Linked DNA regions of Drosophila melanogaster. The protein of the gene in region 2 interacts with the protein of the main gene of each other region in a biochemical or structural test. Each region holds a gene or a part of one and is shown on either strand. Other genes may lie near its edges.

The links.
Region 1: the proteins of icln (region 2) and Smn are reported together in a solved structure, tested with the Drosophila melanogaster proteins (one study listed by BioGRID).

Annotation. Positions count from the first base shown.
Region 1 is NT_037436.4:16,579,898-16,583,464, forward strand, and holds Smn (survival motor neuron), read right to left. Parts: upstream 1,651-3,567; 5' UTR 1,555-1,650; intron 1,491-1,554; 5' UTR 1,286-1,490; coding exon 605-1,285; 3' UTR 501-604; downstream 1-500. Other genes in the region: Rpn12 (regulatory particle non-ATPase 12), read left to right, coding at 3,203-3,567. UniProt on the Drosophila melanogaster protein: Core component of the survival motor neuron (SMN) complex that plays an essential role in spliceosomal small nuclear ribonucleoprotein (snRNP) assembly in the cytoplasm, is required for pre-mRNA splicing in the nucleus and acts as a chaperone that discriminates target and non-target RNAs of Sm proteins.
Region 2 is NT_033778.4:17,587,758-17,592,381, reverse strand, and holds icln (icln), read right to left. Parts: upstream 1,419-4,624; 5' UTR 1,350-1,418; coding exon 1,231-1,349; intron 1,145-1,230; coding exon 616-1,144; 3' UTR 501-615; downstream 1-500. Other genes in the region: CG30105 (uncharacterized protein), read left to right, coding at 1-354, 419-496; RhoGAP54D (Rho GTPase activating protein at 54D), read left to right, coding at 2,028-2,176, 2,242-2,474, 2,528-3,328, 3,596-3,762, 3,851-4,624. UniProt on the Drosophila melanogaster protein: Involved in both the assembly of spliceosomal snRNPs and the methylation of Sm proteins.

The sequences.
Region 1 (3,567 bases), on a different chromosome or scaffold from region 2:
TGCAAAAGAGAAGGATTTACCACTTATATTTCAAATCGTAAGCCTGTGAAAATAAAGGATGCATTTGGCAGTGTTGAATATGGACGGTTAAAAGGTCCAAGCGCATTTTTAGCTAGTTTGTTAATTAGGCAATACTACCATGTACTCTCTTTATCATTATATCTTATTTTTTATCAATAAAATTTTTCAGCTTCTGATTTTAAAACAGCTACACGATACCCAAAGTTAAAGAAATCTATTGCAGTGTAAGAAAGTCTGCTTACCAATCAAAATATCCGTTTTTTTTCTTTTCTGATTTGTATACTGCCAGCTAAAATATCGCCATTCTACGATCTATCGAAGGTTATGAAAATTCCGTTATACTACAAACTCAACCGCTCGCTACGAAATGTATCGAAGCACTGATTTTCTCAAGTGGCCATATTGAATGTCAACCTAAATTTCTGCCTGCCTCGGCATTTTTTTTTTCCATTTATGTAGCAATTGAAACGAGATCCCACCATGACGATACTGACTCTTTAATATAATAAATTTAATCGTTCTGTTTTCTTAATATCTACAAGTCTTTCGAAAAGATGTGATGTGATGATGAGATAAGATGGAATTACTTCTTGGGTGTCTTTTTCTTTCCGCTAGTGGTGCTGGCTTCTTTCTTTCCCTGGTAGAGGCCCGTATAATAGCCGGACATGTACCAGGCGGTGAGCATGGCCACGAAGTCCTGTTCGGCGCCGTCCCCTTGTCCGACAATCATGGGCGGTACTGGTGGCATGGGCGGCATAACCAGTCCGCCAGAGATCCTACTCCTTCTGGATGACTTGGGAGTCTTTGAATGACTACCAGCGGATGCCTTAGGGCGGCTCAACTGCTCGTCCTCATCCTTCTTGGCGATAAGGAACTGCTCGCGACGCACACGCTTGCCCCAGGACGGCAGGAGGTCCACGAGCAACACCTCCTGCTCGTTCTCATAGCCCAAATAGCGGAGTACGCAGGTGCCCTTCTCCTCGTTAATAGACACCACAGCGCCCTCGTAGTCCACACCATCCACGTAGGTGGCCCTGGCGTAGTCGCCTACTTTGAAGGATACTGGTTCCGGGCTGGTAGCCCCACCAGTGGCCGAGATCTCGCCAGCTTCTTCTTCAGCTGCGGCAGCGTTCTCCTCCTCGCGCTTGTTGGTGGAATCGGCGAGGCGGCGGGCCAAAGCTTCGCGGGCCAGTCCCACCGACTCGTCGTACGTCTTCACCAGCAAGGAGTCATCCCACACCGCGGCGTTCGTCTCGTCGGACATCTCGGCTTTCTATCCTATCAGGCAAGTATCACGTTTTTAAAGGAAGAACCAAGTTTCGCTTTTATGCGAATTTGCTGTGTGTTGGAAAGCGCAGGCGAATCACCGCTTAGCAGCACAGGCCGAAACATGAAACTATCGCTAAAAGGTGTACATTCAAACTAAGATGTGATAAAATTTATGAAGTCATTCTGGGTATTATATTATTCTGAAAGCGAACGAAATGGTTAAGAAATATTTAAATTCAGTAAAGCTGAAAAAAGTTTTCATACTTTGTGGCCAACATTCACAATGCAATCAGAATACTTCCAATGTAATTGTATTGTATTTATTGTTTTAATTGAAGTCTTCTTTTTATACTTTCCACTAAAAATACTTTATTGTGAGTGGTGTTGTACCTATCGTCCCCATTAACCGCACGATAGTATCGATACTTATCAGCATGCATCTTTAACACAATAAACAAACAATAAATTGATCGATCCGACCTGAAAGCGAGATCGCTAAATTTTTTAACTCAATTTCGGAGGTATGGAGTTGGGGTTGGTGTGCCGAATTTGCCTCGGGCAATGTGAAAACGAGTTCAATATTTTTGAAGTTAAGCACGGCACTGAAGCTTCAATAGCGTCAATCATTTCCGAGTGCACTGGCCTCAAAGTGGAAAAAGGCGATCATCTACCCGAAACATTTTGCACCTCCTGCTGCCAAGATGCACAAAATGCGTTCGAGTTTAGAAAAACCCACCAGAGGAGCTAATAATTTTACGTTTAGTTAATGGAGGAATCCCGATTCCGCAAGGTATCTTATTCCGAGGATGGGGAATCGAGTATCGATGGAGGTGCTTTTCAGCATTTTGTCGAACTCGAAAGTGTAGTTGAAGATTGGCGAGGCAGTGGCATGATCCAATGGGAATGTTGTCTAGTGTAGAACGAGCCTCTTTAAAGACGATGATCAGTTCGTGGACTGTGACAGCGATCAATCCAATAGCCAAGTCAATATTGAGGTAATAGACGAAGACTATGATAGTTGTGAAAACCATAGATTGCAAAATAAAGGACGTGATAATGATAAGCTGCTTCAATGTCCTCATTGCCCAACGAGGTTTTGGATAAACTCAGCACTTAAGCAGCACTTGCTGCTTAGCAGCAAAGGCTTTGAAGAGCGTATCGCATCTTTCGGGACATATTGCAATACACACTGAAAAACGGTGCCCCCATTGTACATCGAATTTTACGCTGGCTTCCAATCTTAAAAGGCATCTAATAATCAACACAGGCGAACGCCCCTTCAAGTGCTCCCAATGTCCTAAGGCGTTTTACCCAGAATGCGCATCTTCGAATTCACATGATGAGCCACACAGGAGAGCGACCGTTCCCATGCACCAAGTGCTCCAAAAGCTATTTCACGAACACGCAACTGCGGTACCATCTAAAGACCCACAAAGAATGAGAGTTCTGAATCGCTTAATAATTTAAGTTATTCTTGACACAAAACTTATGCCCAAGGTCAAATAGACGTGATTTCAATACCCGAAATTTTTAACTATACTGAGACAATCACTAATTGAATAAACAGTCCGAGCTTAAATGCGAAAATTTAGATTTAAACTCCATTAGATAGTTTGTTAAAATATATCGATATTAAAGCACAAAGGAAATACAATACCCCTTGGATCAAATCATAAAGCTTTCAGTTGTAAACTGTTAAACTATATAGAGTTCGTCTAAAAAATGTATTTTTCAACTTAAACTTACACTTAAATAATATTCCCAGCCCTGTGGTAACTTGACAATCGATAACTGTTCCGATAACGATTGTCCTATCGCTTTACCCTACAACAATTGCCATCTCTAAAAAAAAGCGAAAATCATCTTGGGAATTTGCAGAAAACATTTAAGCTTCAATATACCAATCTAAAGAATGGCCAACGTGGAATCGCTGTACAAAGAACTGACCGCCGAGTGGTCAAAGCGGCCACCAAACACCGTCAAATGCGGCCAGCTGCTGGATCAACTGAAAGTAGCGCTCGTGAAGATGGCCTTCCTGCCGACGGACGGAAACGATGCCCAGAGCTCCAAGAAGCAATTGATCCTGGCTAGGAGCGTGCTTGAGGTGGCCGTGGAGCATAGCGTGCTCAGCAAGGACCTGCTCGCCTTCGAGCGCTACATGGCGCAGCTGAAGTGCTATTACTATGACTACGCTAAGATCATTGGCGAATCGGAGAGCAAGTATAAGCTGCTCGGTCTGAATCTGCTGTACCTCTTGTCTGGCAACCGGGTATCCGA
Region 2 (4,624 bases):
GCCAAGGGTAAGAATTTAGACGTGCACTACTTGCCGGCCAAAATAGACGGCGATGGGGAAGCGAATGTAAAAAATTACTTCAACAACTACACACGTGAAGCAACCGAATTCGGCACAGGAATCCTGACGAACGCCTTGCGCGGATTTCCTTTAATGGGAGAGAAGTTGAAAGTGCCCGAAGGATACTGCGGATTAGTTCTGCAAGAAACAGAGAAGCCCATCAGCGATACCTCCGACCGAAAGTTGCGGCTAACTGGAGTATTTCAAGATTTTACTTACTGGAACTACGACAAAGTGCCGTCCAATGGCGATCCCTACCGACAGGCCCTTCCTCTGCCGGATGTTGCTCAAGCTGTATGTATATACCACTATATATTCTCGAAGTACACCTAATAAATACCACATTTTATTTATTTAGCTCTCGCAGCCCATTAGCGAAGAGGATTTAGAGAAAGAAATCGCTCGTAATAAGGAAAACGTCAAGGAAAGCACGTAGTTTTGTTTTAATCGCGCTTACCGCGTTCTATTTATTACTCCAAAATCTAATCCAATACATATATATCGTACATTTTATCTGGTATAAAACGTGGTATTGATGTTTAAATAGGTTATGCTTCACTCATCAGCGTCCTCGAATCGCTCTTCGTCGTCGTCCAAACTGAGATTCTGCACGCCGTTGCGCCCAAGCGTCAATGCATCATCCTCCTCCATAGCCTCATCCTCTAAGCCACCGGCATCCTGCATAGGATCGCTGTCTTCCGAATCACTGTTTGCCGAATCAGGATGTAGGGCCTGGCAAGTCGTCATGGCACTGTACATAGTGTCTACGGTGTGAATGTCCTCCGGCATAAGCCAGCACTCTGTGACCTCTCCAAATTGCTCGTCTACGGCATCCTCGAAATTGTCGTCCTCATCGTGCTCATCGCTGCCATTTCCCTCGTCCACTTCCGCTTCCGAACCACCGCCATTCCGACCATTGACTGCCTGCTGGGGAGGATCTCCGTAGACGCCGTTCCACTCGACTTTGTGGTCCAGCATGAAGTAGATGCACTTTCTCGGATTCGAAGAGATACCGTGCAGGCTAACCTGCTTCCACTCAATGGATATACCCTCCGCCAATTCAGTTGGCTGCCAGGATAGCGTGCTAGGAACAAGAAATAACAGTTACTTTAAAAGATTTTAATAAATAGAGAGCAATACCAGACACCGGCAAAGCTCTAAAGCGCTCACTTTTGGGCAATGTAAACTGTGCCTTCGCCCACCACTTTGTCGCCTAGTTTCAGCTTGATATTGTTTGCCGTATACAACAGACCATGTTCCGGCGGGGAAACACGCATAATAAGAACCATTTTAATACAGCTTGTTAAATTAATTGTAAAAAGCGCGATCAAACAACAAAACTTGCAAAAATGCAGTGTTGAGTACCATTTTTTCGTCCCCCTTTTGAAAGTCTGGCAAGGGTGGCAATAACTAGGAGAGACAGCTGGACTCTGGCAACGCTCTGATGTATTTTCCTTCTTTGAATGTAGAATCATCAGAACAGGTGTTCTCGGAGGACAACTTCTTTCTTACCACTGTTGAATTTAGAAATAGATATATAAAGAATGGAACAATTTTGTCAAAAAAAGATAAAAACGTAGTACGTAATTGTGCTACCAGATCAGCGCGTACGATTTTCTCCCAAAGAGGTCTTAATTTGGCGCTCTAGCCGCGGTCACACTGGTTAGGTAGCGTCTCGTTCAATTTTCAATTTTAGCTGTTAAAATTTGCGATAAATGTGATAAATGCGAAGTTATATGCTCGCGCATCAAACCTTCGACAATAATACACTCCTCAAAACGAACCCATTACGGACAGAAGTGAAAGAAGTAGCCTTCGGGTTAACGAAACGAACTTGTCATTGTCCTTCCAAGTTGTTGTTATTTTCCTTATCCGTTGGCAGTCGTTATTATTGTTGTTGTTGTCGTTGTTCGTGGATATATACAGTGTTTACTCGATAGTCCCGACGGATAAACCACACAGATTGCATGGAAGCAACGATGGATACGGACCATGCGAACCTAAATGACTTCAGGGATCGCGATCTGGCCACGCGCATGCGCCGCTGCAATTACGAAAAATACAAATCCTTGGTGCGCATGCACCTATCGTTTGAATTGGAGCTCAATACGGATGAGTAAGATGGATCACCTTGGTATATGGCTGCTCACCACATTACTAACGATTCCCTTATATATGTAGATTCGATCTCCCCTGTCACGAGATTGTCTACGAGGACAAGGGCAAGCTGAAGAAGTGGAACCGCCTGTCTAAAAAACATCGTTTGGGACATGGAGCAGCTGCCACATCCTGTGCCGCCGGCTCCGCCAGTAAATCCGTGGGTAATAGTCCCACAGAGACACTGCAACAGCAGATTGATCCGGGATTCTTAATGCATCTGCAAGAGCTCAAGGAGTTCCTAATGCTGGAGAAGAGTAAGTTCGCTGAAGATCTCAAATTACGTTCATTAACTGATCCACTGTTTCAGATCTCACCCAGGAAGGCCTATTCCGCAAGGCTGGTGCGGTGTCCCGACAAAACGAACTTCGGATGCACATCCAGCACGACAAACCACTGAATTTGGAACTTGCGGGCTTCTCCGCTCACGATTGCGCGACCGTTTTCAAAGGTTTTCTATCCGAACTTCCAGAACCGCTGCTTACGGATGCCCACTATCCGGCGCATCTGCAGATAGCCCCACTCTGCCAGGCGCTCAATGGTCAGACGACTGCCACTGCTGAGCGTCAACAACATCTTCTCAACTCCGTGCAGCTGCTACTTCTCCTCCTGCCCGAAGAACATCGTGAACTTCTTCAGCACATCATTGAGATGCTGCATGCTGTGGCCAAGCATGAGAAAAGCAACAAGATGAGCGCCGATAACTTGGCCACTCTCTTCACACCGCACCTAATTTGCCCAAGGCAACTGCCACCCGAGGTCCTGCACTACCAGGCCAAGAAAATGTCCAGCATCGTGACCTATATGATCGTCCGTGGACTGGACATCTTCGAGGTGCCTGGAAAGCTGTCTACCGACATCCGGGCGTACTTTCTCGAGCGCAAAAGAAAGAAAACCATGTCGCCGGAACAAACGCTTGACGAGTCCATCTCGGACGTCTCGACGGTCAACACGGTGTACACTTTTGTAGACCGAGCCGCCACTGCAGCGGCCACCAATACGAACAATACGGACACGGAGCTGGCGCAACTTTATGCCCATATCCAGAGCATGCCGGAGTCCTCTAAGAAGAGGCGTTTGATTAAGCAGTTCAACAAGCAAAATGGGCAGGGTAAATTACTTTATATATTTAATGCTTTAATGCCCTTTCACTCTGGGTCTTATGATTTAAATACCTCTGCTAGTAATTTCAAAATTACTTGAATTAAGGTTCAAAATATCTTGAATCTAATTAATATAGTTAATATTACGGAAGTAAGAAATCTATAGCCAATGTTTAAGTTTGCACATAATAACGAGGTAATTTTTGGGAAAAAGTTAAAATAATTAAAAAAAATATCATTATGATTTATCAACTAATCAATTTTCATTTGATTAGGCACACCGTTGCAACTGGTGGTAATGAATCGTTTGAAGAACAACGAGGCCACTCGAAGTGCCAAGTCCCTGGGAGATTCCATTAAGAAGCACATTTTCCACAAGAGCCTCATGTCGCGGACTCCAAAAAGAGTGCCACCCAGTTTTCATTTGGCTAGTGGATCCGAGGTAAGTCGTGCATTTGGACTTCGCCTACTGCTGTGTTTTTTTAACTAACCGCATGCCTTTTTGTAATCCATCGCATGTTTATCGCCAGACGCCCAATATGTCGCATGTGAAACCGCCCAAGATGCGGGTGCTTTTTCAGAGCCCCACGCCACCCACACCCACCTCATCGACCATCACCAGCGTCAGCCTGTCCACTAACACTCGGCATCAGCTTCAGAAATCCATCTCATCTGCTTCCCTCAAGATCGAATCCTCGTCTTCGGACAGCAGCTCTAGCTGTGCGACCAGCGGTAGTATCTCTGCTCCAGTCAGTCGACAGCAATCGAAAGAATCGCCTTCTGGCAATGGAGCTGCTGGTGCTTCCGGCCAGGAACTGGATGAGATCGATGCCGATTGCTGCGTGACGCCTTTAAAGATCATGTCAGCGGTTGCAAAGCAGCTAATTGACAAGAAGAGCGTTGCCTGGGACGAGCACCGACTGCTGGAGATTGAGGAGTACTCGAATCCCTCAACGCCCGTTCAGCAATCGACGCGCTATAAGTCGGAGCCTAATCTGTCAAGTATCCTGCCGCAGGTGGACGCAGAGGAAGAGGACGACGGCGCACTGACGCCCATTGTGGAGGGCCGCAGTACCATGGTAGCTAGCAGCAGCCATATGGGCAGATCAATAACCCGAAAATTGATGAAGGGCGTTAGCATGGGTAATCTCAGATTCCCATTCAGTACGCCAGAGACAACCAAACGACTGGTGCGAAGTGTTTCTGCCACGCTCAGGAGGCGCCCCAGTGGCGAAGAAAGCAAGCCATGCCCATTGGCAGCGGATGCACCACTTCTGGAGGATGTAGACGATAGCGATGAAGAC